Caenorhabditis elegans: one gene and its partner. The protein of the gene in region 2 interacts with the protein of the main gene of each other region in a pairwise test. Each region holds a gene or a part of one and is shown on either strand. Other genes may lie near its edges.

What was found. Proteins that work in one complex are often made in the same cells at the same time.
Region 1: the proteins of F25B5.3 (region 2) and ugtp-1 interact in a two-hybrid assay, tested with the Caenorhabditis elegans proteins (one large-scale study listed by BioGRID).

Annotation. Positions count from the first base shown.
Region 1 is NC_003281.10:8,745,345-8,751,180, forward strand, and holds ugtp-1 (UDP-galactose translocator 1), read right to left. Parts: upstream 3,358-5,836; 5' UTR 3,356-3,357; coding exon 3,268-3,355; intron 3,064-3,267; coding exon 2,939-3,063; intron 2,661-2,938; coding exon 2,553-2,660; intron 2,508-2,552; coding exon 2,379-2,507; intron 1,972-2,378; coding exon 1,657-1,971; intron 1,418-1,656; coding exon 1,115-1,417; 3' UTR 872-1,114; downstream 1-871. Other genes in the region: Dwarfin sma-2, read left to right, coding at 4,620-4,622, 5,264-5,315, 5,430-5,533, 5,719-5,796.
Region 2 is NC_003281.10:5,947,307-5,954,035, forward strand, and holds F25B5.3 (Putative cytosolic 5'-nucleotidase 3), read left to right. Parts: upstream 1-1,576; 5' UTR 1,577-1,594; coding exon 1,595-1,685; intron 1,686-2,977; coding exon of another isoform or gene 2,978-3,032; intron 3,033-3,133; exon of another isoform or gene 3,134-3,142; coding exon of another isoform or gene 3,143-3,191; intron 3,192-4,558; exon of another isoform or gene 4,559-4,643; coding exon of another isoform or gene 4,644-4,662; intron 4,663-4,734; coding exon 4,735-5,554; intron 5,555-5,602; coding exon 5,603-5,705; intron 5,706-5,798; coding exon 5,799-5,915; 3' UTR 5,916-6,229; downstream 6,230-6,729. Other genes in the region: F25B5.6 (Putative folylpolyglutamate synthase), read right to left, coding at 54-361, 413-837, 1,221-1,279; nono-1 (RRM domain-containing protein), read right to left, coding at 6,404-6,498, 6,562-6,729.

The sequences.
Region 1 (5,836 bases), 2.8 Mb from region 2:
TTTGAAATGATGGGAAAGTTTTGTAAAATTTTGTGTCTTCTGGGAAAATCTATAAAATTAAGTTGTGAAGGGCTTGAGTGTTTGAGAAATTTATTTAAAATAATCCAGCTTGGCAGAAAGGTTTGAACATTCGAAAATAGTATTTAAAAAAACCTAAAGACCAAATAAATATTCTCGAAAAATTTCCAACTCTCAATAAAAAAACGATTGAAATACAGTTAACTAAAAGAATCCGGGCATCATTTCTGAGAAAAGAATAATAATTTTTAGAAAGGTAGGTACTTCAGACAATTTCTCCAAAAGACATGTACCATAAAAATTGCAATTGGCTGTAATTCGAAGTCTCTGTTTTTCAGAACTTGATATGTTATTTAAGAGAAAAAAACGCTACCATAAACTCGCGGTGAGACCCATTCATATAAATCCGTGCACACTCAAGAAAGAGTTTTAGAAAATTCGGATAATCAATGGATGGTCGAAATTGATCATAAAATATATAAAAAAATGCTCGGACATTGGGATGGCTTGAAAAAGAAAAGAGAAAGTTTCGTTCATCTTTCTATCTTTTCAGTTCCATTCGCCGCCAATCCGTTTCTGTCGTCTCTTTTTCTGAATTCCCATCTAATTAAACATCGACCACATGCATCCTTCCTGTCAAACACACACTTGCCAAACTACTGACTGAGCAAATTGCGAGATATCTCCAGGGAGCCATTGGAATTCTGTTATTTGGCGAGAATTTATGAGCCACCTGAGCACTAATGGCTTATAGTTTTAGAGCAGGAAGAAGGAAAGAGGAGGAGCCCTTGCTTCTGCTCCAGAGCGTTCGCACAATTGGTCAGGAATTCTGTGGATTGGAACAAATTAGGAAAAAATATGAATGCTTTTTATTTGCCATCGAGAATCGAGGAAGTTTATAACATAAAACCACGATCCAAAAAAACACAAAAAATGCAATAGAATAAAACCCCAAAAATACAAAGAAATCCAAGCATTAAGTTTATACAATTAAAGCTTTTGGCTAATACACAGAAAAATCAAGTAACCCGGAAGAATGTGTAATCAAAAAATGATGGTTTTTCTAAAACTGAAAAAAAGAAGCAAATTGTGAATCCTACTCGTTAACAGAGTTATACAAAAGAACAGCAAGAACAACACAAATGGTTCCAAGTACAAAATACATTCCAATGAAAATATCTGGAAATATGAGCATCGAAAGAACAACAACTAGAATGATAGAGACTGCTGAAGCCATTGATTTGTACAGATTATCAAGATATCGCATCACAAGAGAAATGTAGAGGCCTCCAACGCCAAGAAGAATCACAACTGCCCATACTTTGTCCGTGTAACCGAAGAAAAATCCCTTATCGGAGATCCGCGAAAAATCCGTGAGACAAGCGATTGAAGCACTGATCTGGAAAAAATTGGAAATTTTCGAAATTCGACTTTCTGAGATTAATTGAGCTTAGATTTTATTAATAAGTCTAAATTGGTTTTTAGTAATATTCAATTATTTCGAATCTCTATTTTTCAAACGATTTGAAAAAAAAACCCTAAATAGTTTCTGATTTTTTTTTAACTTTCAGAAGTTTGATTTATTCAATTGGATGGTAAGTAAATAAACTAGGAAATTTTGAAATTTCAGTAACTTACCACTCCACAACTGTACATTTGCATATTACGAATCCAAAATGGTGTACTTCCACCATCTTTCAACATCTTCTCAAAATAGACTCCAGCAAATCCAGCAGTTACACACGTTGCCAGTACAGCTGATAATCCGACAATATAATTTTCAGCAGTTTCTCGTTTTGTATTGGCTTCTGATGCAGAAACATTGTTCATTTGAACAAATGCTACTCCAAACATTAGAAGTGTAATTGCCATCCATCGACGAGTTGAGAACTTTCGACCGAGAAAGAGCATCATGAAAAAAGCTGTAGAGACGACTTTCAATTGAGTTGTGACCTGCAATTTTTTTCTTGAAAAAGTAGGGTTTTTTTGGATTTTTGAAAATAATAATTTTTGTTTTGTTTTGGAGAAAAAAAAAAGAATTTTTTTTTTGGCTTTTAAAGGGTTTTTTGTGAAAAATTAAAACAAAACATTTCTGCATCGTTTTTTTCTGAAAAAAAGAGTTGGGTTTTTTTTTTGGGAAAAATTGATTTTTTAATGGTTTTTAATGGATTTTTTTGAAAAAGAAAAAACATATTATTTTGAAAAACTCGATTTTTTTCCTGGAAAAACTTTTAATTTTTTGGTTATTTTTTGAAAATTTTTTTTGTTTGGTTTTAATGAAAAATTGATTCTTTTTGTTATTTTCATAGGAAAAAAGGTTTTTTGATTATATATTTTTTAATATTTCTATGACAATTTACCTGATAAAGTCCCGCATCCAAATTCGACAATCCCACAAAATCCAAATTATTCTGAAGAGCATACGCAAACGATGGGACACTCATTTTGGCAAGTTCTCGTGGAGCATTTATGTAATATTTACTGACTTGCTGTAAATTATAATTTTAAGATTTCAAAGAATACGGTAGATCTACCTCGGAAAATTGTCTGCTATCAAAGTTACATTCTTTGTAGAACATTGCAAATGTGATCACTAATTTCAAAATTTCGGCACATAAGACTACTGATGTTGAAGAATACATCTGAAATAAAAATGCATACTTTCGAAAAATTGAAATATTTGTATCAATTCTGTGTGTTTTTTTGGTGCTTTGGGATCAAAAAAAAAAAAATTTTTCTTAAAACCGTTTTCACACTTTGGATTTTTTTCAGAAAAGTTAAACATGATTTTTTATATTTCGCTATGAATTATCAATTGTATTTTATTGTCAAACTTTTTGAATTTTGAATTTTGAAAAAAAAAAATTTCTGAAAATTCAATAATCAAAGTCTTCCAAAACTATATTTCAAAATATATTACCATATCTGGATTTACAGTACTCCTTGTGTATTTGATTGTTAATGTGTAAGCTGTCCAAATGAATGTCATACTGGCAATAACATAGCATTTGAAGACAAAACTTGGACGAGATGATGACGGGGATTCTGAAATACTTGGCATTTTGATACAGAGTTTTGAGAAGGAATTATATAAATTTTTAAAATAACATACGAAAACTTAAAAAATGTCGAGAGTAAATTTTCCGATAATTTGTTTTTCGATTTTTTTTTTCAATTTTTACGGAAAGTTTTTTTTTTGAAGAAATACCAAAACTTTTTGAAAACTGTATAATATTAGAAACTTCCTACCATCCGCTTTCTCCACATCCTTATCGTTTGGCAGTAGCTTCTCCTTGTCCTCATCTTGATGTGATATATGTACATTTTGGAATTTCATTCCTGAAAGTTGTATATTTCATAAAAAATAATCAGTAAATATTGAAAAATGCTTTCAGAAAAAAAAAGATAAGAAAATGTGCTATTGGGGTATGATGTCTGATAAAAAGGGTGTATGTTTGTCTAGATCATTCTTCTCTTTTTTATTGTAAAAACGCCACGTTCATGCATAAAATTGAGAGGAAGTATCATTATTCACAAACGCGATGATAAAACCCATGAAATCATTTTTTGATACTTTTTAAAAGACTGAAAAATAGATAGATATTCTCTAGAAATGAAATATTTGAAAATGCATTGAGAACAAAAAAATATAACATTTTCCGATGCTTCCAAGCAACGCTTATGTTCCTTAGCAACATGAATTAACAAAGAAGGAAATTTCAAGGACAAGACACTACTTGACCTTCTGTCAAAGAATCTACTTATGAAAATTCGTTAAAATTGAAATTATATAGAAAATGTAAATATTGAATGAGTGCATAGAGCAGACTAGAAATTTCTATATCTTTTGAGATTCTCGGAATCTTTTCTTTTCAGAAAATTATGCTTTCTGATAAAATTCGGTAATTTGTAAACCATGAAAATCAAAATTTTAGGGCGTGAAATATTTTCTGCTGCAAGAATTTTTCTCTTAATTTAAGCACAAAAGCAACACAATTTCAAAAAAGTGTGTTTTCTGGTGTTCCTTGATCTAGTGAGACCGGTTTTTGCAAAGCCTACCTTCACAACAACCATAGACTATTTTATCCGATGACACCTGGTCCCTTCTCAAACAAAAGTGATGAATATTCCCCAATACCGTTTTCCTTTCAAACATGAATAAATGAATTCCATTAATTCCCTGCTTGGCTCCAGACTGTCGCCCTTCTGCGTCTCTAAGTCTTCCTATTTCAAACACTGTCTCATTTTATATATTCTGAGTCTCTCTACTATACTATGATGTCTAGTTGGCTACTAATGACGATAACGGGGGCGCAGGGACACAAGTTGACTGTCGCCGGGTGGAAACACATCTGTGAAGATGATTGCACAATTTGGAGAGACGGAGAGTTGAAAACAATGAGTAGACAGTTAGACGGTTGATGATGGGCTGGTGAAGCTGAGAACAATTTATGAGATACCAGGCACTTTAGAGAGGCTACAGAGGTAGAAAGAAAAAAAGGTAAAGGAGTGCGCATTTACAGGCTATTTTCAATGTTTCTTATTTATAGAATCTTCTTGTGATCTATTAGTTTTTACAATATTTCAAGAAGATTAGAATCATGGTAAGTTTTTATTTGTATTTAAGAATAAACATTCAAAAAAAATTCGAAATTTTGTAATTCAAATTTTTTAAAGAAAAAAAAAAATAGAATTCAAATTGTTGAACTCAATGAGTCTTTAAAATTTTGAAAAAAATACGAAAATCATTTTTAAAAATTTCAAAAAATGTAGCTACATTTTTTATGTTTTCCTATAAAGAATTTGTTTAAAAATTTCCCAAAATATTGTTGTGAAATAAGAAACTGAAATATCTTCTCGATATTGTCTAACCACTACCAGTTTGTAAAAATTATTATTACTTCCTCAAAACCAGGGCCTTGAGTCCTGGAACGTGTGTAATTTTTCAGCTACAGTACCCCGTGAACACCATAGACTTTGAAATTCTCAGCTTTCAAAGTTTGAACCTTCCGTTTTACATATTTTAATATTTGACGTAGTTTAAACATTTTTCCAAAATATGTGATTTCTACAATAAAATTCTTGAAAAAATCGAGACAAGAGAGACAAATAGTAATAGAGAGTACGGTAGCTGAAAAATTTCATTCGTATCAGAACCCAATTCCCAAGAATTCTTATTTTTCGAAAATAGATAAAATTGTATAACCATTTTTTATTTCACAACAAAAAACCACGAACCTTTCAGATAAACTTCGACGGAATAAAAAAGATCACGGAGAGACTGAAATGGAAACAAGGTAAGTCTCATTTTTGTCCAAAAGACCAATAGGGTGGGGAAATATTACAATCAACGGCGGAAATCTAGAATCGAAACTGAAATCGGATTTCTGACGGAAATAAGTATTTTACAGGAGACGAGGATGAGAATTGGGCAAAAAAGGCGATCGACAACTTGATGAAGAAGCTGATAAAGCATAACAAGCAGGCGTTGGAAAATTTGGAATTCGCGTTGAGGGTTCATGTGTTTTGTGTCTTTTGAATCTTTCAATTTGATCTTAAGATTTCTTTTTTATGAATAGAAATGAAATAATCTAGCAATAGACTACACATACTTTAAACTCGTTAAAAATCAATAAAAACTACATATATCCGATATTTCAATCGTAGAATAACCTCAAATCAATAACTATATCATTTCAGTGCCAAGGACAACAAAAAACCGAATGCGTGACAATTCCGCGGTCACTAGATGGACGACTTCAAATTTCGCATCGAAAGGTGATTTTAGTATAGAATAAGAGAATAATGGGGAGAAGAA
Region 2 (6,729 bases):
TTTCTTATCTACTTGGTTTTATACAATGATTTTAAATAAATGTAAGTTTTCACCTCTTCTGCTTCCGTAGTCGTTGGCGAATAAAATGCCGGTACACTTTCTTTGAAAATTCCTGCTTTGTGCCATGCAATTTCGGATAACTTATTTCCAAGAATGGACATGTGATCATAATCAAGTGTAGTCACTCCGCAGACTTTTGGCTTCTCAACAACATTTGTGCAATCGTATTCTCCGCCGATTCCAACTTCGAGAATCATAACTTGAACGTTTAGCTTGACGAAAATTCGGAAAGCAAGAAGAGTCAAGAATTTAAAGTAGGCGGGCATATTGTCGCTGTGCTCTCTTTTGATGATGTCGTACACTGAAAATATTAATTATATTAATTTTAAAAAAATTAAAATAGTGATGTTACCATGGAAAAATTCTTCGGCAAACATCTGCTCACTAACCGGCTGTCCATCAACTTGAATTCTCTCTCTAACATGAACCAGATGGGGTGACGAATAGAATCCAGTTCGGAGCCCTTGACTTCTTAAAATTGATTCAACGAAAGCACAAGCGCTTCCTTTTCCCTTCGTACCGCTCACATGGATGATATTCAAAGCGTTAAGATCTTCTGCGGATATGTTCAGAGATTCCAGATACTTTCGGCATTGCGGAAGATTAATCGCTTGCAAGTTCTCCCTTTGAACACGTAACTTTTTGATAGTCGCCGCGTTTGACTGAAGGCCATTCAAAAGACGAACAGATTCTTCATAGCATGGTACAGCTTTTTCAGATGACATTCTAAGTTGGTTAGCACCGCAAGCTGTGGAGGATGTTGTTGGTAGAAGAATCCTGTTAGTTTGAGGTAAAAGTCGCATCATTTTTAGGTTTTTTTTCGGGGAGATTAATTGGATTATTGAGGTACTTTGATTAGTTAATTTTCATGCTAGTTTGGAACTAGTAGCAGCTGATTTCAGCCGTAGAAAAAAGAAAAACTCATTAAAAAATTATTAGTTGATAACATTTCAAGACTGCATTTTGACGTGACGGTGTATGCACACTTGCGCGTGAAAGCAACTCAAAGAGCGACCACTTCGATTTTTCACTTTTTTCTTTTTTTTTCCAATTTCATAAGTTTTTCATAAAACCTGTTGGATTTTAGAGTTACTCGATAATTTTTCGAATCCAATAAGCGTAAAACCAGTCAAAAACTCAACATAATAAGTAAAACTAACCAAGTCGAGCGAGAATGAAAACCACGAGTAGGGGCAAAAATGGAACTAATGATACGCATTGAGGGGCAAAGATGCATGTGATAATATGATAATATAACGTAGATTGATCATAGAACATGGTTTAGTGTTTGCGCGGAAGGACATTCTCTCCGTTGTTTGTTCTAGTGAACGTTCAACGCTAAACTGAATCCTCAGCTAGAGGGGCTGGCCATCAATCTGTTTCTCTAAGTTCGATCCCTCTAGACGTCATATGCCTTCCAAAGTTCTTTTTTCCTCTTTTCGTTCAGTTGTTTTTCCATTTTTCTTCTTAATCCTCCTGCCTTTTCCTTTTTATTTCAAATTGATTTTATCTAGAATTTTCAGATCTTCAGTCGATGTCAAATAAAGTTGCAAGAAGGTTAGGAAAATGCCTTTTCGTTAGCGGAAGACGATTCGAAAGTCGACAATCAATCTTACAATTGCGAAGTAAGTGAAAGTGAGAACTTTGTAAAGATCATAATACAATTTTATCCTGTAAAAATTCAAAATCTCGTGAAATTTCAAATTATTTCCAAGAAATTCAGTTAATTTTCAAGGAGAGCTCCTACTCATTATCACCAACTGATTAGCCTGTCAGTCTGGAAAATCATTAAAAGTTATAGCCATTTTTAATTTTCCAGAAAAGATAAGAAAATCGTCGGTATACTATAAATAAAACGGCTTGATCTCTGTCTTTCTCGCGGCATGTATTCTTTTTTAAATCACATGTTTTCTCTTCAGAATTTTCAAACAATCTTTTATTTTGATTTTTTGGATGCAATAGAAAATTCGAAAATTGAATTTTTCATAAGTTTTAGCCAAAAGCTCTTCCGCTTTTCCTGTAAAAAACCAGAAAATACCAAATTCCCGCTCCGTGCTCCTTGGCTTTCGCCAAATTTCGAAAATAGTGACGATTTCCGATTTTCAAATAGGATTTTCGAAAATTCTCGATTCTCATCTTTTTTTCTCTTTCGGATTTCTTTTTTGATTGAAAAATAATAATTACATTTTCCCTATTTTCAGTAATAGCATTCAAATTAAATTAAAAAAAAAATACTACAGTACTCTAGGCCCTAAAGGCGCAGACACCCATTTCCAAAAAATTGATCTTGGCAGGAGTTTTTCGAATTGTTTGTTATTTTTCGTATCCAAAATTTTCACATCAAAAACGTAACAGCTGAATTATTGAAAATATTTTTTCTGAAACCCGGAAGTTTTGTGAAAATCCAATTTCCTAAAAAATTCCAAAACACCACATTTTCATCACTCTTCAACACGAGCCTTTTTCTCTTATTTTCAACCTCGCGAACTCGATACATATATCTTTGATCTCAGCTGCTCCTAGGGAGCTAAAACCCAAAACTATTTTTCTTTTTCCTCTTCCTTTCCTCTCTCTTTTTTCCTTCTCGTTTCAACTCAACAAGTATCTTCCGCTGATCCATATTTTTCTCTGCGACTCTACCATCTCGTATACTATTTCATTGCTCAAGTCGTCTTCGCTTTGACACATTGCTGTGCGCCTACTGCGACGGCGGCTCTCTTTTTTCGTTTTTCGCATTTCCTCCAAAAAAAAAAATCTTCGTTTTTCGCGTCTCCCCGCCGTCTGCCTCCTTGTTATTTATCAATCTTCACGTCAAAACATGTCTGAAAGTTCAGTGATCCAAGGTGAGTAGGAGGATTTCAGTAGGAAAAAAGTTCGAATTAAAAATTGGGTTACGGTTAAACGAATCCAATTCCAGGCGTGCTCCGCGAGTCTTGTTGGCTTCAAACTGTGGTGTCTGTCTGTGAACACACGTATGTTCTATTTAAAATTTGTTGCGTAGGAAATTTGTTTAATACCAATTTTAAAAAATTACTTTAAAAATTGCGTGAAAATATGTTCATTTCAAAATTCTACTCGTATCATGGGACATTGTTTTTCCGTTTTCTCCTCAAAGGAGACTATTAATTGTAGTGAGTTTTTTCACGAATTGAGAAATAATTTCAACATTTATGAATAGTAGAAAATTGGGGAATGTAAAAAATATTCTAAACTTTTTAATATTATACCAGAAAAATGAGAAGCTCTGCCACATTTAGCAAATGCCCTAGAAGATTCTAAATCCAAAATACGTCACTGCAATCCGTTGGCTATAAATAATCTCTTCTGGGTCATCTATGTAAATTGACTGAAAATTTGGTATCAGATTCAATTTTTTGAACTCTACTAGTTTAGTTCTCAATTTAAACGATAATAAACTGTAAAACCTAATCAAACTTTTTGACAGTCGTAAACCATTTCAAATTTAGTATTCTGCTCCCTCTCTCTCTCGCTTCTAAAGGGTCTCTTTGTCTATACAGTAACTCTATCTATCAGTTAGACAGTGACAGAACAAAGAGCCATGTCGATAAGGTGCCCTGTGGGAGTTTTCAACGACGAAAAAGTACAGTGGCTCTTTCTCTCTTATCTTGACTACCACTACTGCTACCACTACTTCTGATTTATAATCGAAGTCCAAGTTGGGCGGGATGAAAATGTGAATATAAAAGGTGCATCGGCTGAATTAAAGTTACCACTTTGAGAATTCTTTGCCAAAAAGCTTAACACTCTTCTCTCTGCGCATCTCGTTGAAGGCACCGAAGTTCCAGTTTTCTGTTAACCCCTGTCTTCTCCCCTCTAGCCCTCTCATACAGTGTCACATTTTTTTGTCGGTGACAGCAGTCATATCGTCAGAGATGCCGAAACTAACTGTACTAATAAATCTTTACTTTTTTGTTGGAAATTGTGAGATTCTCGCAGCATAGAAGAAGACAGAGAGACAGAGAGAGAGAGAGGAACGTCTAAAAGGGGCGGAGCGTTCGTTGGGTTAACTATAAAATCGTCGAGATTGCTGGGGAGAACTCTTTTCCCGTCCCAATATTTACTTTTGACTTTTAGACACTTTGATCTTCGACCTAACTTCTAAATATTTAGCTTTCTTTCTTTTTTTCAAGTTAAAAAGCACGTTTCTAGGCTCATTTTAAGGTATATTTGATTAATTTTTTTAAAAATTATACATCCCAAAAATCGTAGGTAACGAATCGTCGCGATCTTCATATATTCTAAATCTAGATACAGTAACCCATTTTTAATACATTTTTGGAACTTATCCAATTTTGAAAGTTCAAGTTGTCTCCGTCTGTATGCGCAGACACCATACTTCAATTGACCTCTAAAATTTTGTCACGTGGCGACTTGTTCACATTCCCCTCATGTCTCCACCATGTCTCGAGTTTTTTCATGTCCTTTTCAGTTCAAGTGTTTCATGTCCACTTGAGCGTGAAAAAAGAATTAATTGAGATCTCTCATTTGACCAGTATAAGAGTAGTTAGTAACTTGTGAAATTTAGATTTATTTCGATATTCTAGATACTAGTAGTAAGAACTATGAATTCTGCTAACTCGTGTAAGTTGTTAAAAACTTGCCCTTTTTTATCTGATATTTGTATTTTTTCGTTAATGATTTTCCAATTTTCAGCCGAAACCCTCACTGACACACCACTCTCTGCCACACTCGACCAATCACAATTTTCAATGTTCAAAGCCGCCGAAATTGTGAATGCAGCAGCTGCCTGCGCTGAAGCAGAATGCATCGAACAGCTGAAAAAGACTGATGTCGTGCCATTACTGATGAACTACCTACTTGGAGAAGAACAGATTCTGGTTGCTGATCCAACTGCAGTTGCGGCGAAACTTCGGAAAATGGTTGTTGGAGGCGCCGGGAAAACTGTAGTTATCAGTGATTTTGACTATACACTGTCTCGATTCGCCAATGAGCAAGGAGAACGTCTTTCGACCACCCATGGAGTTTTTGATGATAATGTAATGCGGTTAAAGCCAGAATTGGGACAAAAGTTTGTTGATCTGAAAAACAAGTATTATCCGATTGAGTTCTCGCCGAATCTGACGATGGAGGAAAAGATTCCACATATGGAGAAATGGTGGGGAACAAGTCATTCATTGATTGTCAACGAAAAGTTCTCAAAGAACACAATTGAAGACTTTGTTCGTCAATCGAGAATTGTTTTCAAAGATGGAGCTGAAGATTTTATTGAAGCTCTCGATGCACACAACATTCCACTTGTCATCTTCAGTGCAGGAATCGGAAACATCATTGAGTATTTCCTTCAGCAGAAGCTCGGCGCAATTCCACGCAACACACATTTCATCTCCAACATGATTCTGTTCGATGAGGATGACAACGCTTGTGCATTCTCCGAGCCGTTGATCCACACTTTCTGCAAGAATTCATCAGTTATTCAGAAGGAAACATCGTTTTTCCATGATATTGCTGGAAGGTGAGAACAATCTAAATAACTGCATTGATACGAATTTTAAATTTTCAGAGTAAACGTAATTCTGCTCGGTGACTCGATGGGTGATATTCACATGGACGTTGGAGTTGAAAGAGACGGGCCCACGTTGAAAGTTGGATATTACAATGGATCGGTAAGGATTTTAACTTTAAATTGTTGAAAGTTATCTTTTTTTCAAAATTATTTAGACTGTCAATTTTTCCATAATTTTCTTCTCAATTTTCAGCTTGACGACACCGCCGCTCTCCAGCACTATGAGGAAGTCTACGACATTGTCCTGATTCATGATCCGACGTTGAATGTGGCTCAAAAGATTGTTGACATCATCAACTCATCACATTGATTCTTCACTTCCTTATTCTCTTCAAATTTTCATGTTTTATCTGTCGTGTCTCGCTGGCGAGATGGATACTGACCACTTTTATTCGCATTGTTCTTACCCAAATTCTATTTGCAATTATTCTTGAATGCTCGTTTTTTGAGCACCCACACCCGCCTCCTTTCACCGGTCATTGCTTTGTTCTGCTTTTCCCAGTCTACAAATTACCATGCTCCCGATTCAAAAGTCTGATACTAATCCCAGTTTGGCCTTTAAAAGGTCGTCTTCTACTCGCTAGTATACATGTATAGATGAAAAATAAAAAGCTGAAATATTAAGCAATGTATTCTGGTTAAATTATAAAGTCAAACGAATGAGATCCAAAGTGGAAACAAGGAGCCACTTCTAGATGAATAATTGAATGAATAGAAGATGCAGAGCGTTGTAGACAGGAAAATAAAATAAAAACCAAATCAAGAAAGTATATAAAACAGATATGATGCTCAACATCTCTATCGTCGTTGCTTCTTCTCCGGTGGGTAACCTCCGTCGCCATATGATCCGAACATGCCTCCTGGTCCTTGCTGTGGTGGATAATCACGGCCGGCTGAAATCGAGGAAACATTAATCTCGAACCAGATCCAATAAAACGAAGAATTTTAAAACTTACGCATTCCTCCTGGTGGTCCATTATCACTTTTGAAGATCTGCAATAATCGTTGGACTCCTTCGATCATGTTACTCCGTCCGTGAGATTTTGGAAGCATTCCTCCAGGACCTCCAGGTCCTCCCGGACCCCCTGGCCCTCCTTGTCCTGGTGGTGGTCCTCCCATTCCTC